Linked DNA regions of Stegostoma tigrinum. Each later gene encodes a partner of the first gene's protein in a complex. Links are inferred from orthologs where the notes say so. Each region holds a gene or a part of one and is shown on either strand. Other genes may lie near its edges. The genes, in order: sybl1, bet1l, stx18 and vti1b.

The links.
Region 2: sybl1 (region 1) and bet1l share a complex: the UniProt entries of both Homo sapiens proteins name them as parts of the SNARE complex. The link is inferred for Stegostoma tigrinum from reciprocal best matches to the Homo sapiens genes VAMP7 and BET1L.
Region 3: sybl1 (region 1) and stx18 share a complex: the UniProt entries of both Homo sapiens proteins name them as parts of the SNARE complex. The link is inferred for Stegostoma tigrinum from reciprocal best matches to the Homo sapiens genes VAMP7 and STX18.
Region 4: sybl1 (region 1) and vti1b share a complex: the UniProt entries of both Homo sapiens proteins name them as parts of the SNARE complex. The link is inferred for Stegostoma tigrinum from reciprocal best matches to the Homo sapiens genes VAMP7 and VTI1B.

Annotation. Positions count from the first base shown.
Region 1 is NC_081368.1:48,299,393-48,306,560, forward strand, and holds the start of sybl1 (vesicle-associated membrane protein 7), read right to left. Parts: upstream 3,027-7,168; 5' UTR 2,916-3,026; intron 1,837-2,915; 5' UTR 1,830-1,836; coding exon 1,684-1,829; intron 1-1,683. Other genes in the region: polr1d (DNA-directed RNA polymerases I and III subunit RPAC2), read left to right, coding at 3,222-3,263. UniProt on the Homo sapiens protein: Involved in the targeting and/or fusion of transport vesicles to their target membrane during transport of proteins from the early endosome to the lysosome. Required for heterotypic fusion of late endosomes with lysosomes and homotypic lysosomal fusion.
Region 2 is NC_081370.1:34,967,590-34,975,433, reverse strand, and holds the start of bet1l (BET1-like protein), read right to left. Parts: upstream 3,008-7,844; 5' UTR 2,917-3,007; coding exon 2,898-2,916; intron 1-2,897. Other genes in the region: ric8a (synembryn-A), read left to right, coding at 5,772-5,855. UniProt on the Homo sapiens protein: Vesicle SNARE required for targeting and fusion of retrograde transport vesicles with the Golgi complex. Required for the integrity of the Golgi complex.
Region 3 is NC_081354.1:17,153,065-17,160,519, forward strand, and holds the start of stx18 (syntaxin-18), read right to left. Parts: upstream 3,010-7,455; 5' UTR 2,957-3,009; coding exon 2,804-2,956; intron 1-2,803. UniProt on the Homo sapiens protein: Syntaxin that may be involved in targeting and fusion of Golgi-derived retrograde transport vesicles with the ER.
Region 4 is NC_081363.1:69,072,988-69,080,760, forward strand, and holds the start of vti1b (vesicle transport through interaction with t-SNAREs homolog 1B), read right to left. Parts: upstream 3,005-7,773; 5' UTR 2,903-3,004; coding exon 2,806-2,902; intron 1-2,805. Other genes in the region: rdh12 (retinol dehydrogenase 12), read left to right, coding at 3,256-3,329. UniProt on the Homo sapiens protein: V-SNARE that mediates vesicle transport pathways through interactions with t-SNAREs on the target membrane. These interactions are proposed to mediate aspects of the specificity of vesicle trafficking and to promote fusion of the lipid bilayers.

The DNA.
Region 1 (7,168 bases):
TGTGCTAAGTGGATGTGGTTAATGAGATCTGTATTTGAAAAGAATTGATCAGGTGATGCAAGGTACAGGCAAAGCGAAAATAAAGCAGATAATTTTCTAAACAAGACAACTGTGACCTTAGTTACATTCCAGTTGTAAGCTTGGAAGGAGTAGGGTACAAAGTTGTGACATAAACAGATTACGTAACACTACACCTACAAAAGGCAAAACTCTCAAACAAAATCAACATACAATACAAGCAGTCTTGCTCAAACCTATCTAGATTCCACTTACTGAATCCAAACAGTGTTACAGATTAGCAATTGCACATTAACAATTAACATTTTATCTCACCAAGGCATAGGGCATTCAAGGCATTTTAAAGCAAAATTTACAGGCTTAAAATGTGGTTTAGCAGTGCCATTGTCAATGCATTGTCTCTGTATTCTTCCATCTGATTTAAGTACAAATCAGGAGCTGGCAGTCATTTGGCCCTTCAAGTCTGCTCTGCTTTTTAACATCATAGCTGATCCTTTAATCTCTGGAGATGCCCACCTTCTCTCATACCCCTTGATGCCTTTTATAGTTTAAAAACTTGAACTTTGAATACATTAAACGAGTTAAAATTTAGCTCTGATGATGTGGATGGACATCTCTCCAAGCAAATGCCTATGCAAAATTAAATTTGGGTTCATTATATAAATGCAGTTAAAGTCAGCAGCAACATGGCAGCCATAGATAAGCTGAAATTAGAAATGGAAAAATCCTATTAGCACTACAATGACAAGTCTCTCTTTTACAGAAACTGTTAAAATACAGAGTTAAAACAAGTTTACTCTCCATCCATAAGTAACCCAACTAGTTTGACCCAGGAAAAGGGGTGAGCCATTCAGCACAGAGCTATTTCACCATCCTAGGTGATCAATCATCTCAGTGCCAGTTCTTTTCCCACTATCACAATGTCCCTTAAGTGACATATTTTGAGTTCAACCTGCACTATGATTGAGCTTCCACAATCCTCTACAGTAGAGAATTCTAAAAAGACTCATGCCTTTCATTTGAAGATTTTCCTCCTTATCACAGTCTTAAAATGCTGTGCTCCTTAGCCGGAGATCTGTCCCTGGGTCTAAGGTCACAGAGGAGGTGCCCTATTTATATCTACATTGTCACATTTTATGACTTGTATAGGTTTCAAAAGGGTCACTTCTTGCATTTCCAAAGTTCTAGAGAACACAAACCAAGTTTCCTCAATCTTTCATGACAATCCTGTCATCCCATTAATCTGGTGATCTTGCCAAAAATGGGCAAGTATTCAAATTTCAGCATATTGTTGGCTGTGTGGCAGTAAGTCATTCCATTAAACTCTATTTTCCAAAGAGTATAGACACAAAAACATGATCAATCTCATTAACCATAAAATAACAGGGAAGGTGCAGGGGGAAGAGGGGGTGGGGGAAGGACCCTAGTCTAGGATCACAATGGTGTTAGATTACAGGAACTTCCTTGTGAATGTTTATTCTACAGAATGTCCAATAAATGTAAGAAAGAATGGTTCATTACCAGAACAACTTTTCCATACATGCATGATATCACTCATAGAGAAATGACGCTTCTGCTTTTAACTCAAAATATGCCAAAACAAAACTTCTCAGCATGTGAAAGCAGCAGTTACAAAATTCTCAGCTCAAAGATCTCGGGACTTACTTTCCATGAGAATAAGTCAGTTTATTATTTTCTGATGGTATTTTTGATAGTATCTGTTCAGTCACTTCCAAAAAATTCCCTCCACACCAGGCATTCTTTGCCAGGATGGTAGTGCCTCTTGCAACTACTGCAAACAAGATAGCCATGGCTCCTCTGAAAAGGTGATACAAAATACAAATGTACATCACAACTTTCAAATCACTAGATTACAACAAGATAAATACTCCCACTATGAACACACTATTTACTCCATACTGAAAAGTACAAGACATCATAATGAGAAAAGCAGGATCACAGTTACAGATTAAGGAACAAGCCAGCCAGACAAGAAAGTTTTAAAGTCATAGTGCTTTGCTTAGAATCAATTTTAATGCTAGCCTGGAAATAGGATTGAAATGAATGTTCACCTTACTTCATAGAATCATGTAGTACAGAAGAGGCCCTTTGGTCCATTAACTCTTTACTGCCAAAACTACACTATTACCATCTACACTAGACCCATAGACTTAAATATTACAACACTTCAAGGTGTTCATCCAAGTACATTTTCAAAAGTTGAGATTTCCCCACCTCAACTGCCATCCCAGACAGTGTATTCCAGATCCCCACCACCATACAGTCAAAAAAGCTTTTCTCTAAATCCCTTCTAAACTTCCTACTTTTTACCTTAAAGATTACACCTCCTTGTTAACCCAGCCACCAAGGAGAACAAGTCCTTTCTCCTCAGTCTTATACACCTCAACCTTCTCTGCTGAGAAGTAAATAACCTGAGTTTAGCGACTCTGTCTTTGTGGCCAAAATGTTCAATCCCAGTGGATCATTTCTGCAAGTACACCCTTCCAATAGCGTGGTGACCAACTGTGGCCTAGAGCTCTAAATAGTCTTTGCAAGACGTCTCAAACTGATCCTCCAACTAATTTCGCTTTCGAGCTTCCTTCACCAACAACCGTTCACGCTTCGCAGTAAACGTTAGATACTCAAGTACGGGTCTTACAACAAACGGAAGAAGCGATGCGACCCAACACAGCCCACAGCTGAAGTTCTCCACCTGCAGCTCATCAAAACACCAGTGACACCTGAGCCCTTTCCCTAGGTAAACATTCCCCAAACTGAAAGCTCCACACTACGACGTTACATGTCTTCACCATAAAAACAAACAGCATCCACAAACTCTGGGCGAGCTCGACTAACGTCCTAATGACAGCAACAATTAAACAAAAACTGTCCCATACCCTTCCCTGAGCTTCCTCCACTCCGGGGCCTTATCCTCAAGCTTCACCCTTTCCACACACTTCCGGTCAGGTGATACCTTTGCCACGCGCACGCACAGGTCGACACGGCCAGCCTCCTCACAAAACGCACGCAACCATCAGCCTTACGCGAATTATGGGAAATGTCGTTCAAGCCGTGAAAGTAACGGACATTTACAGGCGCGTTTATCCTTCGAAGACTACAATTCCCGGCATCCATGGAGAACGACGTTTAATACCGGCGTCGACATCCAGTGTCGAAGTGGACCCCAGAGCGACAGCGTGAGGATGGCAACAGCTGAAGGGATGCAGAAACCTGTCCTGGAAGTGGTGAGTACGTTCTCTCGTAGTGTCCAGCACTTGACTAACCTTAGTATCAGAGATAATGGGAACTGCAGATGCTGGAGATTCCAAGATAATAAAATGTGAGGCTGGATGAACACAGCAGGCCAAGCAGCATCTTGGCCTGCTGTGTTCATCCAGCCTCACATTTTATTAACTTGACTAACCTTGTTTGTTTTTGTTTTTGTTTTGGAGGCGGTACTAGAGAAAATTGATAAAATCATAGATGCAAGTGATCTGAATTTTCAGAAGGCGTTTGGAAAGAACGATAAGGTCTGAGAATATGGAGTCTGTAGACAGACTATTATTTGCTGTCTTCAAAGCAATTACTTTATATCACAGGAAAAAAATACTTATGACTCACATATGAAGTTCTGAGCATGTCTGTCAACAAGAATAAGTAGTGGGCATAGAAGACCGTTGAAATCCAATGCTATGCCGACCTCTCTAACATGCTCAGCCATTTCCAGGCCACCTTAGACCTTGAATGGTTCAAAAACAAACAATCTTGAAGGCAGTAATATACTCCTCAAATACGATGTAGTCACCCAAGATTTTTGGAAAGAGCATTACTAGTTTCAGACAAGATTCCAACAGTTTGATAGATTAACTTTGGGTATATGCCCACGTTTGCTGAGAGACTATCCAAAAGATGAAATATAACACTGTATGGTTGGACAATGTTTCTGCAGAGATCAATAAAGTGGGTAGGCATGAATATTTGCTCAAACCTTCAGACTTTGTACAAGTCAGGGAAGAAGATGTATTTCTTCTCAGCTTCCACAAAGCAGTATTGTTTTTCTATTTTAAGAAGGGTGCAAAATTAATACCATCAATGCACTATCATCAGGGTTCATAGTCTTTGTGGTATCCAGTGCTGTCAGCTGTTTTTTGAAATCATACAGAGTGAACTGAATTGGCTGAAGACTGATATAAATGATGTTGATGTATAAGGTATGTACTCAGCACTTCTGGCTGAAGAGGGTTGCAAATGTTTCATCTTTGCTTTTTTGCATAGATATGCTAGGCTGCCTTTCATTGAGGAAAGAGTTGTTTTTGGAGCCTATTGCTCCACTTGTTCAGTTGTCCACTACTGTTACTGACTAGTTGTTGAAAAACTGCTCAGCTTAGGTTTGATTCATTGAGTGTAGGATCGTTTAGCTCTCTTTATATCATTTGCTGCCTCTGCCATTTGATATGCAGTAGTCTTGTGTTGTAGTTTCTGCATACTTTGAGATATGTCTGGTGTAGCTCCTGCCATGCCCTCTTGCACTCTTCATTGAATCAGGCTCTCTGCTTGATAGTAATTGTACAGCAGAGTTATGCAAGGCCATGAAGTTACAGATTGTAGCTGAATTTAATTCAGTTGCTGATGGCCCACTATGCCTCAAAGGTGCTTAGTTTTGAGTTGCTATCCCATTCTGCCCCATTTAGTAGAATGGTAGTGCCATGTAGCAGGATAGAGCGTATTTGCAATGTGCAGATAGGACTTTACAAGAAGTGGCCTGCCCAACCAATAAGGTAATTGACAGATTCATTTCTGCTGGGTAGATTGGTCTGGACCTTCTCAGTTTAGCAAATTGGATCCTCTTTGCTCTAACAAACAAACAATCCATGCTTGCTATCAAGAGCAATTCAGAACAGGTCACATAACCACTTTTCAATTAATCATGAATTGAAGATCCAACCTCGAGATGATGATCTTATAACTTTCATCATTTTAATGTAATCAGTCACATAGAAAGCTCCTGACACTTGATCAGTCAGTAAGTCTGGCCATCACTGTTTTGGTAGGATGGGGTAGAATTCTTCAAATCTAAACTAAACAGCAGGTTGGATAGAGGTAAGCAGAGATGAAGATTTAAACTTTCAAACAATCTCATCTCCCAAGCTATTGACCCTGTTCATCTTTGTGGCCACTGTTTAAGACTGTTGAATATGATTGCACATTAGCTGACTGCATATTCACTTCCACACGAAGATCGTCTCCTTCCAACTCTGCAGCACTGCTCGATTCAGCTCCTACCTCAGCTCATCTGCTGCTGAGATTGTAACTTGTTCTGGATGTGAGTTTGCTCGCTGAGCTGGAAGGTTAGTTTTCAGACGTTTTGTCACCATTCGAGGTAACATCATCAGTGAGCCTTCGACGAAGCGCTGGTGTTATGTCCCGCTTTCTATTTATCTGGTTAGGTTTCCTTGGGTTGGTGATGTCATTTCCTGTTCTTTTTCTCAGAGGGTGGTAGATGGGCTCCAAATCAATGTGTTTGTTGATGGAGTTCCCGTTGGAATGCCATGCTTCTAGGAATTCTCGTGCGTGTCTCTGTTTGGCTTGTCCTAGGATGGATGTGTTATCCCAATCAAAGTGGTGTCCTTCCTCATCTGTATGGAAGGATACTAGTGATAGTGGGTCATGTCTTTTTGTGGCTAATTGATGTTCACGTATCCTGGTGGCTAGCTTTCTGCCTGTTTGTCCAATGTAGTGTTTGCCATAGTCTTGCTACATTGGACAAACAGGCAGAAAGCTAGCCACCAGGATACGTGAACATCAACGAGCCACAAAAAGACATGACCCACTATCACTAGTATCCTTCCATACAGATGAGGGAGGACACCACTTTGATTGGGATAACACATCCATCCTAGGACAAGCCAAACAGAGACACGCACGAGAATTCCTAGAAGCATGGCATTCCAACCGGAACTCCATCAACAAACACATTGATTTGGAGCCCATCTACAACCCTCTGAGAAAAAGAACAGGAAATGACATCACCAACCCAAGGAAACCTAAACAGATAAATAGAAAGCGGGACATAACACCAGCGCTTCGTCGAAGGCTCACTGATGATGTTACCTAGAATGGTGACGAAACATCTGGGAACAAACCTTCAAGATCAGTGAACCAGCTTACATCTGGAACAAAATAAAGACCCACTCTCTTGTGGACCGAGAGGAGGAGAGTGCTGTGTTGGAGGTGAAAGAAGGACGTCGGGATGGCTGTGCACCCTTGCGACCGGTTGATCTTAATGCTGGCTTCGGCCTAACACTGGTTTAGGGGAGCAGCCAACCTGCAACGATGGCTGCGGCAAGTGCTCGTGCCCCAGGTCAGGGGGTCCGGAACACCATTTGTGTTTCTGTAAAGAAGGTGGATGAAGGTGCACCTGTGGACCGCACCTTCTTCATGAAGAGGGTCCTGTTGGACTGTTGTGGGTTCGCTGCTGCGGACATTTACTGCCTGCAGGATTTCCCCGGAGGAGGTTTTTACAATGTGACCTTCAGGAGTGCCAAGCTTTGCGAGCGCTTCCTGGAGGTTTTCAAGGAGAAAGGAGGTGAGGGCCCCCTCTCTGTATTGACCGCTGTCCCGCTGTTTGTGGTGCCAGCGCAGGGGGTCGTATGGTGACTGTACACATGTACAACCCGCGTGTGCCAGCAGCTGATGTCCTGACCTTCCTTGGAAGATACGTGAAGGTGGAAGGGGACCTAACTGACATCATGGACCGCTTTTGGCATCTGGACCAGTAAGAGGCAGGTCAAGGTGACGCTGAGGATGGGCGCGGACGGGAACGTCGTACACCCACTGTCCAGCTTCGCGATCGGCGGGAGCAAGGGCTACCTGACCTATGCAGGGCAACCTAAAGTCTGCCATGCCTGTGGTAGGTCAGGTCACGTGGCGGCCGACTGCAAAGCCACCATCTGCAGGGAGGAGGGACACCTTGCAAACCTGCAACCTTTGCGGGGAAGCGGGCCACCTCTATAGGGCATGCCTGCAGCAGGGGACCACTTACGCCCAGGTCGCCGGCAGGGGCAATGCGGGGCCAGCCCCCCCGGAGAAGAGGAAGGCACCAGGGCCCAGCAAGGACCCCACTAATGTGCAGGAGAGCCAGGCCATGCAG
Region 2 (7,844 bases), on another chromosome or scaffold:
TCTGTAACAGCACTTTTGGTGTACTTCACCCCAAGGACAATAACAGTTCAAGAAAGCTGCTCACGACTACCTCTTTTGGACAATTCAAGATGGGCAATAAAGGGTTAGGAAGGAGGCTTCAAGTAATTAAAAAAAACATAAAAATAGGAACAGTATGCTATTTGGCCCTTTGAGTCTGTTCTACCATTCATTATGATCATGGCTGCTCATAGAACTCATTTCCTGATCCTACTTTCTCCCCATGCCCTTTGATCTCTTTTGCCCTAAGAACTACATTTAGCTCCTCCTTGAAATCATTCAATCTTTTGGTTCAACTGTTTTCTGTGGCAGAGAATTTCACAGACTAGCCACTCTCTGGGTGATTGCAGCAAGACATACCAACTTCTGAATTGAATCGCCTCACAATGATGACCAACATACCATTTGCCTTCTTCACTGTCTGCTGCACCTGTGTGCTTCCTTTCAGCAATTAGAATACAAAAAACACCCAGGTCTAGTTGCACCTCCCCCATTCCTAATCTACCATCATTAAGATATTAATCTGCCTTCCTGTTTTTGCTACCAAAATGGATAACTTCACATTTCTCCATAGTATATTTCATCTACAAAACATTTGCCCATTTACTCAACTTGTCCAAATCACACTGAAGCATCTCTGCATCATCCTCTTAGTTCACTCTCCCATCCAACTTGTTGTGTCACTTGCAAATTTGGAAATATATTTAGTTCCCTCACCTAAATCATTAATATATATTGTGAACACAGAAAAGCAGCATTGAGGTACATTAGAAGAGGCAGTACAAAAACAAAGTAGAAAATATGTCAAAAAAAATTATTAGGAAAACAATGAGAAACTGTGCAATTAGAGGAGCAGCAAACCAAGCAAATTACAGCTATATCATTTAAAAAATAGTTTTATGAGAAAAGGACCATAAGGGATAGGTAGGAGATAATATAAAGACAATGGTAACAGTTAACGATAGAGGGATGGCAGAAATTTTAAATAACTATTTTGATTCAGTATTTGATCAGTCAGATGCAAACAGGTAGACATAATACTTAATTGTGAGAAGGGTGATGACAAATTAACTTTATTCAAAAGAGAATAAAGTCCCTGGTGTTAATGTGTCTAGAATTACTTGTCACATATAATCATTTGTTAGGAAAAGGTACAGTGCCAGAGTACTGGCAAATAGCTCATGCGACTCCTACATTTAAAAAGAAGCCAAGACATTTTCAGGACATTACTGACCAATCAGATGAACACCAGTGGTTGGAAAATAATGTAATTCTTACAGAAGGACAGAATAGTAGGATATTTACAAGAAATATGCTAATGAACAGTCAGCATGAATTTTAAAAGAGAAAGTCTTGTTAACTTAACCTTATGAAGTCTGCAAGGCAATGGAGAGGAGGCAATAGTAATACAGATGTAATTATCTTGATTTTCAAAAGGTCTTTTACAATAGATTAATAAAGTCAGAGAACAGAATCCAGAGACAAGTGGTAGAATGAATTCTAAGCTGTCTGCAAGACATAAAAGCAAAGAATGGGAGTAAAGGAGTGACAGAAGATGGGAAGTTGTGTTTCACAAGGAACATTCCTGGGGTCACTACTCATCATAACGTACATTAATGACTGTGGAATCAAAGTATCAATTTCTAACTTCACATGTGATAACCCAATTCATGTGGAGGGAGGGTAGTCAATTGTGAAGTGTACTGCAACAAATTACAGTATAGACAAATATTGGGTAAATGAAGTTCAACAAATAAAAGTTAGATGCCATGTTTTGCTAGGAAGAATGGGGTGATCAATTTTTAATTAGAAGAGCTTAATTTACATGGTAGATGAACAAAACAATCAACACACAACTACATTAAACACTACATATTGTGGAACAGACATAAACAGATATTGCTGGAGAAAATCAGAGGGTCTGGCAGCATCTGTGGACAGAAAACAGACTTAACATCAAGTCCAGTGACCCTACTTCAGAACTAAATAACATGCCACAGCCAAGCAAGATGACAAAAATATAAACCAAACACCTCATTTTACTTGCAGAAAAATTGAATTTAAAAAGTAGGACTGTTTAAACTACCCTAAACCTGTATCAAACTTAGATCTTGAGAGCAGGCCATCTTAGGCTCATCAATCTTGCTCTCCATCTTGGTTAGATAGTTCTGCACGCAGTCTGGTCACCTCAGTAAAACAGAAATGTTCTAAAGACACAGGCAAATGTGTAAACAAGATTTACATAGATGCTAGCATGAGCAAAGTATTGATAGGCTGAAACTCCTCTGTTTCCTGAAAAGACCTAATTACACACCTTTAAAATTATGACAGCTTTTGTCAGAACAGACACAGAGAAATTGTTTCCTCTTAAGACGATCACCAAGAATCACAAAGGGAAACTCAGAATAAGGTTCTCAACACAGAATACAGAATATATAGCTGAAGCAAATTACGTGGATTCATTTAATGCGAAGATGGACAGGTGGACGAAGAAGTGTTTTAGAGGGCTCCACTGGTTGGATTGAGGAGGCTCAAATGGAGCATGAGCACTGACAGTATATCCTAGGTAATTAATGACACAACTGTCAACTAACCAGTAATTTATAAACGTTTAATATGATTAACTGTTGTGCTCAATGTCTGCATTGATAAATGTAGGGATAATGTCCAAGTTTCACGGCTTCCTGGATCTGTTCAGTTGGTTATTCAGCATCCGCGATTCCTTCTTTCTCCACGTACCGAGCTGAAGGCCTAGAACATCAGCTCAAACCCGCGTTCTTAATATTCACAACATTCAGTAAGTGCCCGATCTCAGTCACCCTCACACCGGCCCACAAGCTGAATTACTCTCCAGCCCTCTGCCTCCCTCTCTCTCTCACCTCGGTTCCGCTCCGCCATTTCTGCGGCCACAGCATCCGGGATTCACGCAGAGGGTGGGACCTCCTGTCCATCAAACCGGCAAAGGCGGGGCTACATGCATTTCAATCCGTGAGAAGTGAGGCCTCCTGTCCATCAACCCGGAGAGGTGGGGCCACCTGTCCATCAACGAGAGAGGTGGGATTACCTACGCAACGTAATGCTGAAGTGCTGGTGGGATGGGCTGGACAAAATCCGAAGTAACGACACCCGGTTCTCGTCCAACTGATTTATTTGAAATCACAAACTTTCGAAGCTCCTTCATAAGGTGAAGTGAGAGAGAAGCACACAAAATTTATAGGCAGACAGATCAAGAGCCGAGAGATCAAAAGATCATACAAATGGTGCGAGTGGAGTTGTCGAATAATAAATCTGCAGCAGATCAAAAGTGTCCTTCTGGTCTGAGTAAAGTGTCAACATCTGAATATCAAGCAAAGCAAATGACCTATAATCTGATTAAATGAGGCAGAGATACAAATACAAGAAACTAAAAATAAGGTGGTACTGGAGACAAATCAAAAGACTGGAATAACATAATAAATATGAGTCACATGCTGAATGCGACTCATGGGAATGGCCAGTTAAACCCTGGAGTTGGTTACATGTCAACTATCCAGGTCTTTTTATGGCTCAATGTACTTAGTCATTGCAGATACCCACTCAAAGTGGTTAGACATCCATAGTGTTCATTTGTCAAACACAGGAGCAGTGAGAGAAAAAACTGTGCATCTTTTGCAATACATGGACTCCAGCAGTTTTGGCCACAGATAATGGGCCAATGTTTACTAGCAGAGAATTTGAATATTTCTTAAAGTTGAATGGGATTCAACATATAAGGAGAGCTCCATACCATCCATCATCTAATTGCCTGGCAGAAAGAGCAGTCCAAATTGTCAAGGCTGGTTTGAAGAAAGAGTATACAGCTTCACCAGAGACCAAACTGTCTTGGTTCCTCTTTGATTAAAGCACCACTCCTCATGCATTTATAAAGATGGTTCCAAACAGTTGCTAATGGGGTGAAGACTCTGCACCAGGTTAAATCTGATCCTCCCGGACTTGGGGTGGGATGCATGTGAAACAGCAACAGAAACGCCAGTGTTGGATGCCACGCTCCACCAAGTGAGAGAGACAGTTTACTTCACGGGACAAATGTTGATGTAGGAACCTTGAAAATGGCCCTGAATGGGTAAGATGTGCCAGCCTCGATGCAAGGCCAGGAGTGGTGACGTATAAAGTTCATGTAGGAATGATGGTCCTGACAAACACGTGGACCATATGAGAGCTGCAATGTCACAAAAGATGTGGGAGCAAAACATGCCCTTCTTCTTGAAACAGTTGAAAAGGCTGTCAAAAACCATGAGTTCTCCCGTTCCAGCAAGTGTTGAGGAGACCTCTTAATCTGAGATTAACACAGCATATCTCACTGCATTGACCACCATCTACAAAGCATAAGGCAGGGGCATGATGGAATTCTCCCAGTTGCTTGGATGGATGCAGCTCCAATTACAATCAAGAAGCTTGACACCATCAAGGACAAAGCAGCCTGCTTGATTGACACCATATCCACAAGCATCCACTCCCTTCATCACTGATGCTCAGTAATAGCAATATGTGCCATCTATAAGGTGCACTGCAGACATGCATCAAAGATCAAAGTTGCTGGAAAAGCTCAGCAGGTTTGGCAGCATCTATGACGGAAAAACAGAGTTAAAATTTCGGGTCCGGTGATCCTTCTGAGGAAGGATCCTGACTTGGAAATATGGTGTCGCTTCTTCACTGTTGCTGGATCAAAATCCTGTATTTCCTTCCCTAAGAGCATTGTGGATTGATGTGTACAGAATACGGGCTGCAGTTAGTTCAAGAAGACCTTCGGCTTCCACCGGCTTCCCAAGGGCAACTAGAGATGGGCAATAAATGCTGGCCAACCAGTAATGCCCATACACCATAAATGAATTTTAAAAATGACAATATGTACACTGTTTGCATCCGCTTTGCAGTTTGCCTTCCACATTTTTGTGTAGTCAGCAAATTTGGCTACAGTACATTTGCTTCCTTCCTCTAAATTATTGATAATATATTGTAAACTTACCCTTGAACAAACTATATGGGAAGGGAGGGGAGCAATTTTAATCAAACATTATATATCTAAAAATAACACGGTGTGAAACTGGATGAACACAGCAGGCCAAGCAGCATCAGAGGAGCAGGAAAGTTCTAAAAGCTGATTAGTTATAATAGTCGTAGGTCTGAGGTGTGTGGGCGTCCCCTGCCTCAGCGGGCGGGGACTGTATTGGTGAGTGGGTCTTCATTTGTGGGCGGTGCCAGCCTCGTGACAGGGGGCGGCCTCTATGGGCGGGGATATTAGGCTCATGGGCGGGACCTTTCACTTCGGACGAGTCCCGTTTCTGTGGATGGGTTTGTGTCCAGCATCCTTTATGGGCGGGCCCTGGCTTAATGGGCGGGGACATGGTCTTTGGGCGGGGTCTCCCTCCGTGTACGCTTTCTGTCTCTGTGGCTTCGATTGGGTCCCGATAGGAGGGCTCTACCTCTGTGGGCGGGCATGAACCGAAGGGCCTGGCCGGTATCCGTAGGGCGGTGTCAAACTAAGTGGGCGGGGCCAGACTACAAATATGGGTGTGGTTAGGGCCCACAGGCGGACGCCCTTTGTGGGCGGGGCATAACCTTCCAGGCCGATCCTCTCTCCCTCAGTGGGCGGGGCCCGTGTCCATGGGAAGAAGCATTCTGCTCTGGGCGGGCTTTTGGGTCTTCGGACACCGTGGGCGGTTCTGTAGAGCTGGAGGTGGCTCTGATGTGCGCTGCGCCGCTCCGGACTGGGGATGGAGCTGAGTCGGCTGATCGAACAGATCGAGAGCGAGGATCAAGATATAGTGCTTGCAGCGCTCCAACTTCATAACACGGAGGTGAGTGTCAACAGAACACCGGGGCCCTGGGACACTCTGATCGAATGTGGTAATGGAGCTGGATTACATCGGGTAACTCTCTGGACCTGAGCGGCACCTGGGCCAAGGGCAAAGGCCAAACCCGCTTTACCCAGTAAACAGCAACAATTGCAGCCTTCCTCCCTCCGGAAAGCAATTGCAGCCTGCCCAGGCCCGGGATTTACCGTTAAACCTAAACCAGCCAATACCAAAGCCGTGTTCCCGACTGTGCCCCGCCCCCATGCACAGGCCCCGCCCCCTCAGTGTTCTCCTCCCCCTCCCAATCGTTTCACTACCCCTTGAGCACCTCTTCCTCCCTCGTCTTCCCAGTGTAGAGTGAGCACCTTAAGTACCCCTGCCATTGCTGCAGGAAATTTGCCTCATCACCACTCACCTCCAGCTGTTCCGGAATTGAGGAGCTTCAGAAGTCCCAGTGGGCCTGAAGCTATGATCCAGTGCTTTGGTTCCAGTTTGATGTGTTTGAGTCCTGTATCTGGCAATCTTTTGAGGTTCATGGGGGCTTGTAAATACAAGTGTCTGTGCAAATCTGGTGAGGATGGTATGGTGGCTCAGCGGTTAGCACTACTGCCTCACAGCACCAGGGACTGGAATTCGATTCCACTCTCGGGTGACTGTCTGCCTCCAGTTTGTACATTCTCCCTGTGTCTGTGTGGGTTTCCTCCCACAGTCCAAAGATGTGCAGGCTAGATGAGTTAGCCATGGGAAATGCAGGAGTATTGGTTAGGAGGATGAGTTTGGGTGGGATGCTCTTCAGAGGGTTGGTGTGGACTGGATTGGCTAAATGATCTGCTTCCACACTGCCAGGATTCTGTGATTCTAGGTGTGAGTTGGTTGGGTGGCTGGGACTCTGGAAAACCATTAACTTAGGAAGGAACAGAAAAAGATGCTGGAAAAGCTCAGCAGGTCTGGCAGCATCTGTGAAGGAGAAAACAGAGTTAACATTTCGGGCCCGGTGACCCTTCCTCAGTTCCAACCCGAAATGTTAACTCTGTTTTCTCCTTCACAGATGCTGCCAGACCTGCTGAGCTTTACCAGCAACTTTGGTTTTGATCCTGATTTACAGCATTGCAGTTCTTTTGGTTTTTATCTCAGGAAGGAAGTTGGTATCCTAGGCTCTGAGAGTGTTTTAGTGGCTTTGTGATGGGGCTGCCAAGGACTGAGAGCGGGAGTTCTGGGAGTATGTGGTCAGGGTTTTGAGAGAGGTTGTTTGGTAGACTGATTGTCTGGGACCCTGAAGGCCCCATCACGTGGTGAAGAAGCTTAGGGTCTGATCTATGTGCCATGAAGGTTAAAGCTGGGGTTGTGACAAATCTTTGAGTTGGACTGTGTGAGTGGCTTGTGGGTGGAATTGCTGATCTCTGCAATCCAGGTACAGACAGAGTGCCTATGCGAAACCTGCATTCTGGCTTTCTGATTTGTATTTCAAACTTGGAGCAGCTTGCGTAGTTATTCAATGTATGAACTTCAATCAATGGTGACAATTCACTTTCTGTTAAACTTCCAACCAAAAGCAGGATAACAGCTGCAAAGCCAATATGCAAATGCATTTTTCTTTCTTTAGCTTGAATATTGCTGGCAGAAGGGAGGAGTGAGAGAAGTATAGTGATAGAAGAGAGAGTGTAGAGAGATTTTGATGAAGATTGGAATCAGGATGTTGAGGGTTGGGGTGGGTTTGGGATGGAGATTGGATTGTTGAGAGTTATCAATGTAGAGGGGTCACACTAGAGGCTCCGTCCAAGAACACAGTAGTTTAGATAACATCCTAGCAGTTTGTAAAATTGCATCCAACATATTTAGTAATTCTAGGAAAAATAATGACCATTAAAATGTTTTTAGCTTATATAAAAATGGAACTGACACAAATGTCACCTGCCCTAATAGCTCCGGCAGCATGGTATCAATCTTATTTGATAATGCTCTCTTGGACATTTTACCATGTAAAGATGTCAT
Region 3 (7,455 bases), on another chromosome or scaffold:
AACACTCATTGCGAACAGCTTCTGGATTTCACGATAACATATAAATGTAAGAGTTGTGGTTCAGCTGGCGGACTGTCACTCAAAGCAGAGGTTTAAGGTTCAAGTCCCACTCTAGGTCTTCAAGACAAAAATCAAGGCTGATACTCCAGTTCAGTATTGAAGGAGTGCTATATTGTCAGAGGTGCTGTCTTTCAGTTTGGACATTGAAATGAGTCTCTCTCTGCTCTCTCAGATGGTCACAAACGGTACTAGGTCAAAAAGCAGTGGAGCTATCCCTGCTATCAAAGCCAATAAATATCTCTCGACAAACAACATAAAAACAGCGGTGATCTGGCTCCTTTCGTTTCACCAACTACAACAGAAATCTGAGTGAACATATGCTGTTACACTAAGACCTGATCGAAATAAAAGTCCAACAGACTGTTAGACAAACACACTGACTGCAGGCTTCAGCAGGGACAGATGTCCTTTGATATGGGAATGTCAGAGGCACATTTGAAGCAGGCAAAAAGCAGCAAAGAAAACAGCTCCATTGTTAGCAAAGACAGGGGCAGTAATCAAGAACAAAATATACATTTGGAGAGATACTTGAAACGCTACTGTGAAATAAACTGTACAGACTGTTACTGAGGACGGTCTAGACAACATGAAAGCCTGCTGTCATGGCAGAGCCAGATATTGAATCCACAGCTCAGTTACACTATTTCTTGCTGTGACTAAAGCTGGAGATGCTTATGCTACATGACCTAAATACAATTAAGCACAAAAATCCAGCACTCCTGCAGCATCTGCTGGAAGGAAGTGGCAGTGCCCAGGATATGCATGATTCTAAGACTAATACCCTGTATAAGAACAAGGGTAACTGCAACAATTGCAAAGCCATAAAAGCATCTTCCTGCTGAGTGGCACGCTAAAAAAAATCTTCTAGCATTGCCTTCCTCAGACTCCAGATCTTGGTTGAATGCATCTTTTTGAAATAACATGGTATGAAGCTGGATGAACACAGCAGGCCAAGCAGCATCAGAGGAGCAGGAAAGCTTGACGATTTGGGTCGAACTGGATGATATAAAATTGACAAGACCTTCTCTGTCCAGCAGCTGCAAGAGAAATGACGCAAGCAATGGCAACAATATATCAAGGACTTTCACTTCACCAAGGCATTCAATCACGTGAGATGAGACAGGCCATTTGTGCTGCCTGATTTAATTGAATATATTATTGTCACATGTACCTAAGTACAGTGAAAAATTTTGTTTTGGGTGCAGTACACGCAAATCATAACATACAAAGATCATAGGATGATTGAACACAGTAAGGAATTCTAAGTTATGGTTGCAAAGAGGTGCTCAAAAAGCAAGATCATCATTAGATTTGAAATTTAAAAGGTCCATTCAGAAGAAGCAGGGAAGAATTTATTGGTATCTGTGTTCAACTTTTATGCTTTGGTCACCTGCCGAAGCTGCTCAATGAGATCTTATTTCCTTAACAAAATACTGAGCAAAGTCAGCTAGGGTCAGATTGGTATTCTTTGAAATCTGTAGTGTGACACCAACACCTTTTGGCATATACACCTTTTTGCTAATGCCATATCCCAGCTGGTGACCCGTTCACAGTACCTACTTACATACTAGAACTGACAGAACCTACTCATTCTTGCCCACCTAAGATCTAAGACAAAAAGCATCAAGCTCTCATCACAGCTGCTCTAGGCTGACAATACTACACTAACATTCCATACTGAGCAACACCTTGAGTGGAATTCTGACAGATTCTCTCACATTGTAAATTGGTGGTATGGCCAATAGTATCAGGATCATTTTTAGAATGTCGCCATATGCCATCTATCAGCATTGATAATGTGACACTGGAGTTTGTTTACAGTCTTACATATGTAGACTCCATAGTAACCAGCAAATTATCTGTGGAACAATTTTCACCTTCACTGTCGCAAACATAACGTCAGCATCTCTTGGCAGGATAAGGACACAAACTTAGAGGTCTGGAACATAATGTCTGTGCTGACCTGGCCACATTCAACAGAAAATGATCATCTGTAAACTGAACTATCTATATAGCACCATGACTTCCTGGGCCATCCACACCTGTTCCAAGGGCATACAGAAACAACCCTGACTCTGGAGATTGACTGTTTGAATGAAACTAACAGAGACAAAGAGATCGGCTGGCTGATAGAACGGCCAACTTAAACAGAGGCCACCGAGTCCTACCACTGCCCTCATCCGCAACAGATGCGGCAGAGACTGTCATGCCAGAGTAGCTCACCTGAACCACATAGCTGGTGATTCTCAGAGAGGTGACCACGGGGAAGCAAATCATTTTCGTGCTGGACAGTGAGCTACTGTGCGTATACCACATTGCTGTGCACACACTGGCTGGCCGCTGTGTTGCCTACAGCACAACAACGACTACATTTCAGAAATGTACCATTGGCTGTAAAACGCTTTCGGCGGGTGGGGGGAGGGGTGTGGTGTTCGCTAGAAGTAAACGGTGCCACAGAAATACAACTCTTTCCAGCGTGAGACACTCTGGCAAGACAGTCTCTGCCGCATCTGTTGCGGATAAAGGCAGTGGGTTGAAGAGGTGTAGGGCTCGGTGGCCTCTGTTTAAGTTGACAGTTCTGAGGAAGGGTAACCGGACCCGAAACATTAACTCTGATTTCTTCTTCACAGATGCTGCCAGACCTGCTGAGATTTTCCAGCAACTTCTGTTTTTGTTCTTCCCAACGTTCAATGGCAAGCCTCCGTACTCCCCCTGCATTGCTTCAATTCTCTCTGGCACTCACCACTTCTCTGGCCCGGGCGGTGAACTCGGCCCTCGTCCTCCCCTTCCTCAGGATCTCCTCCCTGACCGGTTCGCCACTGACACCGATCGCCTTGTTCCGAGTTTTGACGGTTTTCACACTCGCTCGGAACAAGAGCGTGATGTCGGCCGCCATTCTGACCGAAGACACGTCACCGCTGGAGAGATCATCACGGCGCGACGCCGCCCCTCACCCCGGGCACGGGCGACGGTGGCGGCGTCATCTTGCGGCGACCCGGTCGGCGTCGGAGAACGGGTGAAGCAGGTGGCGGGAACGCGGAGGGTGAATAATTCCGATGAGGGTTTCGTGGTTTCCCAGGGCGGTTCGCCCACGGGTCGTTACTGGATGAGCCCGGGTTCGCCTTGGAGACCAAACCACGTGAAAGCTACTTCCCTTCCCTCTGAGATAGTAAGAGCTGCAGATGCTGGAGTCTGAGATAACACTGCAGAAGGGTTCCGACCCGAAACGCCAGCTTTCCTGCTCCTCTGATGCTGCCTGGCCTGCTCTGTTTTTCCAGCTCCAGCATTGTACTCCCTTCCCTCTGGGCTTCATCACAGCTTTTATGGAAACCGCTCAGACCAGGACTAACTCCTCACCATCACCTGTACTGCATTCCACCTCTGGAAAAGCTTGCTCAGTATTTCCTGTTAGTGACCCTCGCCCCACCGTGCGTCTCTTGTAAATAGTGAGTCGGAGGATGTTGTGACTGATTACAATTCACCCGGGGGCTGACAATCAATGTTGGAAACGCTTTTGCACATTTCAAGCTTCCAGGCCGAATGGAATCCAGAATTTAAGTTAATTTATTCCAAACGGAAGCCTGAGGTGCCGTTCCTCAGAATTATTCAGTTAGTTTCGTGCGCTCCGGGCTCAACAGCGTGACATTTAATCAGCGATTTGTGGTGCCAGGCGATGAAAGCAGAAGTGGGCACCCGTTTATGTTTAGAGATAATGGGAACTGCAGATGCTGGTAGATCCGAGATAACAAAGTGTGGAGCTGGATGAACACAGCAAGCCAAGCAGCATCTTAGGAGCACAAAAGCTGACGTTTTGGGCCCAGACCCTTCATGGGGGAAGGGGGAGAGGATTCTGAAATAAATAGGGAGAGAGGGGGAGGCGGACCAAGGATAGATAGAGGAGAAGATAGGTGGAGAGGAGAGTATGGGGGGGGGGGGAGGGAGGGGATAGGTCAGTCCGGGGAGGACGGACAGGTCAAGGGGGTGGGAGTTGCTGTCCTTGAAGAATGAGGACATCTGGGATGTGCAGGAGTGGAATGCCTCATCCTGCGAACAGATGTGGAGGCGGCGAAGGAATAGAGGATGGAATTTTAGCAGAAAGGTGGGTGGGAGAAGCTGTATACCAGGTAGCTGTGGAAGTTGGTGGGCTTGAAGGGGACATCGGTTTGTAGGTGGTAGTCTGAGATGGAGACACAGGTCCAGGAAGGTGAGGGATGTGTTGGAGATGGTCCTGGTGAACTTGAGGTTGGGGTGGAAGGTGTTGGTGAAGTGGATGAACTGTTCGAGCTCCTCTTGGGAGCATGAGGTGGCGCCGATACAGTCAGCAATGTATTGAAGGAAGAGGTGGGGTGTAGGTGCGGAGGAGGGACTGCCAACCGCAGGAAGTGCTACACCTGCCCCCACACCTCCTCCCTCATCCCCATCCAGGCCCCAAGATGACTTTCCACATCAAGCATTTGTTCACCTGCACATCCACCACTGTGGTATACTGTATCCGCTGTACACAGTGTGGCCTCCTCTACATTGGGGAAACCAAGCGGAGACTTGGGGACTGCTTTGCAGAACACCTCCGCTCGGTTTGCAACAAACAACTGCATCTCCCAGTTGTGAACCATTTCAACTCCCCCTCCCATTCCTCAGACGACATGTCCATCCTGGGCCTCCAGCGGTGCCAAAATGATGCCACCCGTGGTTGCAGGAACAACAACTCATATTTCGCTTGGAAACCCTGCATCCCAATGGTATCAATGTGGATTTCACCAGCTTCAAAATCTCCCCTCTTCCCCCCCCCCCCCCCCACTGCATCCCAAAACCAGCCCAGCTCATCCCAGCCTCCCTAACCTGTTCTTTCCCTCACCTATCCCCTCCTCCCACTTCAATCCGCACCTTCATTTCCTACCTACTAACCCCACCTGGCCCCCTTGACCTGTCCGTCCTCCCCAGACTGACTTATCCCTTCCCTACCTACCTTTCCCCCCACCCCCAAACACACTCCTTTCCACCTACCCTCTCTATCCATCTTCGGTCCGCATCTCTTTTCCTTCCCAGCTTTTGTGCTCTTAACATGCTGGTTGGCCTGCTGTGTTCATCCAGCGCTACACTTTGTTAACCCATTTCTGTTTTCCTGGAGCTGGTATTCTCTCGATTCTTATCAATATTTAAAGGACGAGTGGCAGGCATGTGAAATATGTGCAATTGTGTGGATGGGGACAAATTTCCTCTCGAAGCTAACCTCGTCTGATGATGGTTCAGGTCCAGCAGGACTGTGGCAGAGCCACCTGGACATGCAAGGAGACACTGTATCAAGGGCCCACTTTTCCTACTCCTTTTTGTCAAAAATTGGCATTTTTTTTGTGCACCTCTTCTCTTCCCCCACTCTGCCCCCATCCTTTATCCCCTTTTGGTGTTTTGGGCCTTGAGATGCTGATAAGGAATACCTCAAGAGCATGTTGAAGTAAGGAAAACATCAATTCTATTTAAGAAAGACCGAACCATGGTTCCATCTTGGCAGGAGGCTGGAGGAGACACTTTGTTCTTAAAACATTGCATAAATTCCTATGGTGTACACTGTCTTCTCAGAAATATCACAGTTAGATTTAACCCTTTACACCCAGTCAGAACAGAGACATCCCAATGCATCCTGCAAATCCTATCCAGACCAATTTGGAATAGTGGATGATGTACTTTGAGCAATGGCAACAGTAGTCTGACCTACACGCCTGATAAGACCTAGAGAGAGATTGCAGAGGTTAGGCCTGCCAGAGACCACAGGTGCTGTGTCACAAAATGGTCAGTGATCTCCACCCATCCACCTGGATAAGTGTCTCAGTTATGCAACATTGTTTGTCTTGGCTATGTGTTTGTTTGGTGGGCAACTAGGTGTTGAGAATGAATGTGTGATCTGCCTTCGGACTGCATGACAGATTAGTTCCGGTTAGCTTGAGTAAGCAGTTTGATATAAGCTACCATTATCTGGTAGGGCCTTGGTAGCATTTGTCAGTTTGTTAATTCTTCACTTTCTTGTGAAGGACAAGCAGATTCATAATCAGACAGCAAGGAGAAAGATGGGCAGAAGTATGCCAAATCTTATGGTCCTTGCCTTTGCTGCGAAAGCAGTCCTGCAGAGAATAGAAGGCCAATCTGTTGTTGATGGCAAGGCTGGAGTGGCTGGGGTTCAGAGGGAGAATGAACTTGACCTGCTGTAGCCATAAAGGGTGCTCGGGACCACAGTGCATTGTGTAGTGCTCAGAATCTCTGTTTTAAAGGGTTTGTTTTTGTTCTCTTTATACAGGTTCCTGCATGCCAGAACATAGGCCTCAGCCACTTAAGAAGAGTGAAGACACCACCTCCGAGGACAACCACACTACAGGATGCACTGTTACCTGCCTGCCTTTCACCCTCCGCAGCGGAGGTACACCCTCCAAGATCATGAATGTGTTGTGTTCAGATTTGGGGTCAGTTTCTAATGAATGCATATCCCAGCAACTATTAGAGGCTGTCACCACCAAGGTTGTTGACACTGAGGGCTGTCCTGGCATAGCCCCCTGCAGAGTCCCATGCTGAAAGCAGGCTCTTTGGTAGTGGTCAAAAGAAGCCTGCCAAAAATGCAGCAGTTTAAACAACATATGATCAAGATGCTAGGGGTTCTGAGCTGTTTTGCACAGACTATGGAAAGCCTTGATGTCTGCCATATGTCAGGCACATTAGCGCATTACTTCTCCTTGGAGAAGTTGGCAACTGCCACAGAGAACCAAAGTAAGCAGTTGACTCGTGCTGTGACGTGCATGCCAATCTTTATTCATAGACTTGATATAACAACGGCTAGGAAAGTGAGGGTGAGAAGCCGAGACCTCCCTTTCAATTCTTCCTATAGCATCTGGAGCATTAAACTGTCAGTCCTATCCACCCCTGAGCCACGTCTCCATATTTGCTATGATATCCCAGTCCCATGTTTCTAATCATAGCCAGAGTTCATCTGCCTTACTACCCTTGAGGACCTACTTTTTATATTCCTGCCTAACTTCCTATATTCTGTCCACAGAATTTCATCCTTTTCTGTATCTATGTAGTTAATTCCAAGGTGTTCAACAACATCACACTGGCCCCTCTCTCTGTTGAGAATATTCTGCCTCTCTGACACATCTTTGATCCTGGCTCCAGGGAGGCATCTCGCTATCGGCCACAGTGTTGTCTCCATTGTTGTCTGGCTATGCCTCTGACTAGTGAGTACCCTATCACAAACAATTACTTGGAACCCGGTATATCCCTTGATATGTTCGAGCCAGTCTTGGTACCAGAAACCTGTCTGCTAGTGCTATGTTCCCCTGAGAGTCTATTGTCCCCTACGTTTTCAAAAAGAACATACTTGTTTGTGATGGGGTAACCACAGGAGAGCCC
Region 4 (7,773 bases), on another chromosome or scaffold:
TGCCAATGTGGTATACTGCATCCATTGTACCCGGTGTGGCTTCCTCTACATTGGGGAAACCAAGCGGACGCTTGGGGACTGCTTTGCAGAACACCTACGCTCAGTTTGCAGTAAACAACTGCACCTCCCAGACGCGAACCAGTTCAACTCCCCCTCCCATTCCGCAGATGACATGTCCATCCTGGGCCTCCTGCAGCACCACAACGATGCCACCCGTAGGTTGCAGGAACAGCAACCGTATCCCGCTGGGGACCCCGTCACCCAAAGGTATCAATGTGGATTTCACCAGCTTCAAAATCTGCCTTGCCCCCACTGCATCCCAAAACCAGCCCCGCTCGTCCCTGTCTCCTTAACCTGTTCTTCCTCTCACCTATCCCCTCCTCCCACCTCAAGCCATACCTCCATTTCCTACCTACTAACCTCATCCCGCCCCCTTGACCTGTCCATCCTCCCCTGACTGACCTATCCCCTCCCTACCTCCTCACCCTTACTCTTCTTTGTACCTATCTTCTCCTCTATCCATCTTCAGTCCGACTCCCCCATCTCCCTATTTATTTCAGAATCTTCTCCCCGTTCCTCCTCTCTGATGAAGGGTCTAGGCCCGAAACGTCAGCTCGTGCTCCTAAGATGCTGCTTGGCCTGCTGTGTTCGTCCAGCCCCACACTTTGTTATCCTGAATTCTCCAGCATCTGCAGTTCTCATTATCTCAGACCAGAATTGAATACAGCATTCCAAAAGTGGTCTAACAAATATCCTGTACAGCCAACACATGACTTCCCAACTTTTATACTCAGTACACTAACCAATAAAGACAAGTGTACCAAATGCCTTCTTCACTATCCTGTCTACCTCCAACTCTATTTTTAAGGAACAATGAACCTGCACTCCAAGGTCTCTTTCTTCGGCAACACTCCCCAGGACCTTACTGTTAAGGTGTGTAAGTCCTGCCCTGGTTTGTCTTACTAAAAGGAGTACCTCACATTTATCTCAATTAAATTCTATCTGCCACATCTCAGCTCATCTGTTTGAGATTCCGTTGTACTCTGAAATAATCTTCTTGGCTGTCCACTAAACACGAATTTGGTGGCATCACATCCAGATTATTTATAAAAATAATGAAAAGCAGCACACCACTGGTTATAGGCCTCCAGTCTGAAAAGCAACCCTCCAGCACCACTTTCTGACTCAAAGGTAGGAGACAGTCTGTATCCACATGGTTAGTTCACCCTGTACGTAATCTAACCTTGCTAACCAGTCTACTATGCAGAATCTTGTCAAACACCTCACTGAAACCCATATAGACCATATACACCATTCCTCTTTGTCACTTCTTCAAAAAACTCAATCAAGTCTGTGAAACATGATTCCCCACGCACAAAGCCATGTTGACTATCCCTAATCAGTCCTTGCCTTTCCAAATATTAGTAAATCCTGTCCCTCAGGATTCCCTCCAACAGCGTGCCCACCATCGATGTCAGGCTCACCAGTTTACAGTTCGCTGGCTTTTCCTTCCCACCTTTCTTAAATACTGGCACCACATTAACCAATCTTCAGTCTTTTGGCACCTCACCTGTGGCTATCAATGATACAAATATCTCAGCAAGGGGCCCAGCAATCACCTCCCTAGCCTACCTGATCAGATCCTGGGAATTTATCCATTTTAAGACATCCAGCACCACCTCATCAGTAACATGAGCCCTTTTCCAAGATATCACTATTTATTTCCCGTAGTTCTCTATCTTCCATATCCTTCTCCACAGTAAACATTGTTGCAAAATACTCATTTAGTATCTCACCCATCTCGGGGTTATAAATAATAAAGTCAGAGATGGTTTGTAGGTGTTATCGGCCAGACCAAACCCCTTTAAAATATATTGATAAGATAGCCTACCCCAACTTTTTCTTATTTTAAAAAGGCAAGTGTAAGGCATTGTGTTCCAGATGCAATGCGATTGGTCAAACTATTCAACTTTCAGGAAAACATGCTTTATTTTTACACTACAGTTAAAGTCCAGACAAAATAAAAAGAAAAGGAAAGAATTGGCTTAACTGTAACTCTATAAAAATGCCTTAAATAATAAAGTACGTATTAACTACTAATTAACTGTCCAAATATAGTAACATCCCATAAATACTGTTGAGAAAGGTAAACTCAGTCAAATAGATCGTCTCACATGCAATTCTAACAACAAGACCCAAGCAACTGCAGAAAGCTAAAACTAAAAATCCTGGTTCTGAGAGAGTTGAACCCGACCCATTCAGCCTGCTTCTATTGCTCCAACTTTAAAAAAACACCCAAGTCCTCACAAGCTGTTTAATTATCTTTGAGCAGACCACTGAGCACCTAAGTCTCAACCTTCCTTTATAAAAGAAAAACAGGACAAAATAAACCTTTTAAGCCATTGTATCATCACAAAGCAGAGAAAAGATGCCAGTGAGAGGAAGGGCCGTCTGTTTTGGCTATCATTTTCAGTGTTGATGATTTCACAAAGTTACAGTGACAGCTAGTTTTGAACTGGAACTGGAGTCCAAAAGGGTGTTCATTGCTGGACTTTACAGCATGCAAACTGGTGCTCTACGCAGGGCCAGTACAGGCCAGGGCTATACGCAGAACATATAGAGGTGAGGGCTGATTACATGCTGTACACAGTGAGAGGGAATGTCTCCCTAAAGGGGAGCAAATGGGAAATTCTCGTAAGAAGGGTCAGATCAGCCATGATATCATTGAATGGTAGAGCAGGCTCGAAGGACTGAATGGCCTACGCTCAAACCTCATAAAGAAAAAGCAGCATTTCTCAGTCTCACCTCCTGAATATCTAGGCAGGCGCTCACATTGACACCTCAGTTCCTCGAAAACACTACCAAAGGCTTCGTGCATCTTCTCAAACTCCTCGGATGACATCTTTAAAGTGATTTAAATCTCGATCTGGTACAAAACAAACAGCCGACAGCGACACAACGTCCGACTTTTCAAGCCCCGCCTCCTTCCGCAATCACATGACAATATACACACAACAACATCCCCCATCCCCGACCACAAAATCCTGAGGTTTTATCAACATCGTTACTTACTGCTTCAGCCACCATTTTCAGATCGTCATCTCCCCGCTAAAGGGGCAATAACCGAGTCTCTTAAGCCCCGGGGGGTTGGGGGAAGGAGACGGAGACGGACCGCGTGGCCCCGTGCATTCTGGGGGTTGTAGTCCCAGCCGCTTCTGGTTCCCCGGGGATTGGCCGAGCCCTTTCCTGCAGAAGATGCCGGTCTTGTTCACCATCATTGGGATCTCTGCAATTGCTGCTCTTCTGGCAGCATTTGGCCCATATATCAGGTCAGTATTTTCGCCTAAGGATGAATTCGAAGCCCTTCTTGGCTCTGTAAAGATAAAGTTAAATTGTATGTAATTTTACAAACTGTAAGCAGGCTTTTACTTAGTAATGTGGGTTCCAGCCCCTTGAAAAAATGTTACAATTTGTCACGAACAAATTGGGAGTTCAGTTGTATTCGTTAAACTAACACGCAATACAGAATACAGTTTTACGAAATCTGTTTATTTGAATAAGAAGCAAAATAATTGGGCTTTTGTAGATTATTTTCAAAGTACCTTGAGGAATCGTTCGAATTGATTGTGCAGGAAAGTACATCTTGCCGGTGTATTTTAACCATCTTTTGTTTTCTTGGCTGAACATTTGCTGCGGTTAAGTAAATCAGCCCATTCTCTCTGTACCCGAATAAAACTTTGCTTGTAAAAATAAAACCCTTCAAAGTGGTCATTTACATAATCAATCTTTTGTTCGCAGAAACCACTGCCCTGTAATTGTACAACATTTGCAACGTACTGCACGCAGAAGGCATGGACTTATAATCAGATCATGAGTTTGGGATAATAAAATGTGAGGCTGGATGAACACAGCAGGCCAAGCAGCATCTCAGGAGCACAAAAGCTGACGTTTCGGGCCTAGACCCTTCATCAGAGAGGGGGATGGGGGGAGGGAACTGGAATAAATAGGGAGAGAGGGGGAGGCGGAACGAAGATGGAGAGTAAAGAAGATAGGTGGAGAGGGTGTAGGTGGGGAGGTAGGGAGGGGATAGGTCAGTCCAGGGAAGACGGACAGGTCAAGGAGGTGGGATGAGGTTAGTAGGTAGCGGGGGGTGCGGCTTGGGGTGGGAGGAAGGGATGGGTGAGAGGAAGAACCGGTTAGGGAGGCAGAGACAGGTTGGACTGGTTTTGGGATGCAGTGGGTGGGGGGGAAGAGCTGGGCTGGTTGTGTGGTGCAGTGGGGGGAGGGGATGAACTGGGATTTCAGATACCTCTCACTTTGGCTACTTGCTGTTTCGGCTGATTTTTCAGTCACTGCTTTTCAGGATTAGTTCCTTATTGGATCAAAGGTGTTTCACTTGAAGCTAATAAAATGTGAGGCTGGATGAACACAGCAGGCCAAGCAGCATCTCAGGAGCACAAAAGCTGACGTTTCGGGCCTAGACCCTTCATCAGAGCGGGGGATGGGGGGAGGGAACTGGAATAAATAGGGAGAGAGGGGGAGGCGGACCGAAGATGGAGAGTAAAGAAGATAGGTGGAGAGAGTGTAGGTGGGGAGGTAGGGAGGGGATAGGTCAGTCCAGGGAAGATGGACAGGTCAAGGAGGTGGGATGAGGTTAGTAGGTAGCTTGGGGTGGGAGGAAGGGATGGGTGAGAGGAAGAACCGGTTAGGGAGGCAGAGACAGGCTGGACTGGTTTTGGGATGCAGTGGGTGGGGGGGAAGAGCTGGGCTGGTTGTGTGGTGCAGTGGGGGGAGGGGATGAACTGGGCTGGTTTAGGGATGCAGTAGGGGAAGGGGAGATTTTGAAACTGGTGAAGTCCACATTGATACCATATGGCTGCAGGGTTCCCAGGCGGAATATGAGTTGCTGTTCCTGCAACCTTCGGGTGGCATCATTGTGGCAGTGCAGGAGTCCCATGATGGACATGTCATCAAGAGAATGGGAGGGGGAGTGGAAATGGTTTGCGACTGGGAGGTGCAGTTGTTTGTTGCGAACTGAGCGGAGGTGTTCTGCAAAGCGGTCCCCAAGCCTCCGCTTGGTTTCCCCAATGTAGAGGAAGCCGCACCGGGTACAGTGGATGCAGTATACCACATTGGCAGATGTGCAGGTGAACCTCTGCTTAATGTGGAATGTCATCTTGGGGCCTGGGATGGGGGTGAGGGAGGAGGTGTGGGGACAAGTGTAGCATTTCCTGCGGTTGCAGGGGAAGGTGCCGGGTGTGGTGGGGTTGGAGGGCAGTGTGGAGCGAACAAGGGAGTCACGGAGAGAGTGGTCTCTCCGGAAAGCAGACAGGGGAGGGGATGGAAAAATGTCTTGGGTGGTGGGGTCGGATTGTAAATGGCGGAAGTGTCGGAGGATAATGCGTTGTATCCGGAGGTTGGTAGGGTGGTGTGTGAGAACGAGGGGGTTCCTCTTGGGGCGGTTGTGGCGGGGGCGGGCTGTGAGGGATGTGTCGCGGGAAATGCGGGAGACGCGGTCAAGGGCGTTCTCGATCACCGTGGGGGGAAAGTTGCGGTCCTTAAAGAACTTGGACATCTGGGATGTGCGGGAGTGGAATGTCTTATCGTGGGGGCGGAGGCGGAGGAATTGGGAGTAGGGGATGGAATTTTTGCAGGAGGGTGGGTGGGAGGAGGTGTATTCTAGGTAGCTGTGGGAGTCGGTGGGCTTGAAATGGACATCAGTTACAAGCTGGTTGCCTGAGATGGAGACTGAGAGGTCCAGGAAGGTGAGGGATGTGCTGGAGATGGCCCAGGTGAACTGAAGGTTGGGGTGGAAGGTGTTGGTGAAGTGGATGAACTGTTCGAGCTCCTCTGGGGAGCAAGAGGCGGCGCCGATACAGTCATCAATGTACCGGAGGAAGAGGTGGGGTTTGGGGCCTGTGTAGGTGCGGAAGAGGGACTGTTCCACGTAACCTACAAAGAGGCAGGCATAGCTGGGCCCCATGCGGGTGCCCATGGCCACCCCCTTAGTCTGTAGGAAGTGGGAGGAGTCAAAAGAGAAGTTGTTGAGTGTGAGGACGAGTTCAGTTAGGCGGATGAGAGTGTCGGTGGAGGGGGCCTGGTCGGGCCTGCGGGACAGGAAGAAGCGGAGGGCCTTGAGGCCATCTGCATGCGGAATGCAGGTGTACAGGGACTGGACGTCCATGGTGAATATGAGGTGTTGGGGGCCAGGGAATTGGAAGTCCTGGAGGAGGTGGAGGGCGTGGGTGGTGTCACGGACGTAGGTGGGGAGTTCCTGGACCAAAGGGGAGAAAATGGAGTCCAGATAGGTGGAGATGAGTTCGGTGGGGCAGGAGCAGGCTGAGACGATGGGTCGACCAGGGCAGGCAGGTTTGTGGATTTTGGGAAGGAGATAGAAACGGGCCGTGCGGGGTTGGGGAACAATGAGGTTGGAGGCTGTGGGTGGGAGGTCCCCTGAGGTGATGAGGTCGTGAATGGTGTTGGAGATGATGGTTTGGTGCTCGGGTGTGGGGTCATGATCGAGGAGGCGGTAGGAGGTGGTGTCGGAGAGTTGGCGTCTGGCCTCGGCGATGTAGAGGTCAGTGCGCCATACTACCACTGCGCCACCCTTGTCTGCGGGTTTGATGGTGAGGTTGGGGTGGGAGCGGAGGGCTGCCCGTTCTGCGGGGGAGAGGTTGGAGTGGGTGAGAGGGGCGGAGAGGTTGAGGCGGTTAATGTCTCGACGACAGTTGGAGATGAAGAGGTCGAGGGAGGGTAGGAGGCCGGGGGGTGGTGTCCAGGAGGAGGACTTGTGTTGGAAGCGGGTGAAGGGGTCAGTGGAAGGAGGGTTGGGTTCCCGGTTGAAGAAGTAGGCAAGGAGGCGAAGACGGCGGAAAAACTGCTCTATGTCCGACCGTGACTGGTATTCGTTGATGTGTGGTTGTAGGGGGACAAAGGTGAGCCCCTTGCTAAGGACTGACCGTTCGTCCTCAGTCAGTGGGAGGTCTGGGGGGATGGTGAAGATGCGGCAGGGCTCAGTGTGGCTGTCTCCTCTGGGGTTGCAGGCTGTGGAGGTTGTGGGCGGAGCGATGAGGTCGTCGGCCGTGGGCGGGGTTCCGTCGGCCGTGGGCGGGGTTCCCCCACTTGAAGCTTTAGCTTTGTGAATGGTGTTACCCGATCTAAATTCTTCTCCCTGAACCTAACTACTTTCAGTCGGGATCTTTAAACTAATTAGCAAAACTAATCTTGTTCAGCAAAGCCAGATCTTACAAATGGTTTTTATTTCACATTTCCACGTGAACCATTTAACCATTAACCACGCTCTGTTCGGCAGAATAGGTGTTATTCCCACACAGCCTTGGTTTTGTACTGGGGGAAACTATTAATGCAGCACTATTTATTATGTAGCTTGGGAACTCCTAATGTTCAGTTTTCTGTAATTAAGTACTGAACAAGCTGCAAGAGAACGAGCGGGGGGGAGTCTTACGGAGATCTGAATAACATTGGCCATGGTGAGAAATCTGGAAAATAGCATGAGAAGTGAGACAAGCCAATTTTCAGACAGTTTTGAGATTATTGCTTGGGAGCAGCAAGATGAATAGTAAGAGGGATTAATGCTCAATAAGTCTTATTGACAATGACTCTTGCCTCATTGTGATGCATTCTCACCCCAATAATAGGAATTCTACTCCTTGCCACAAGAAACCAGATGCCAGCAATTCCTGTGAGCCTCCATCTTGTATATCTGGTGACAGTATCTCAGCTGACTCGAATCTGGCTGACGCTCCCACGAAG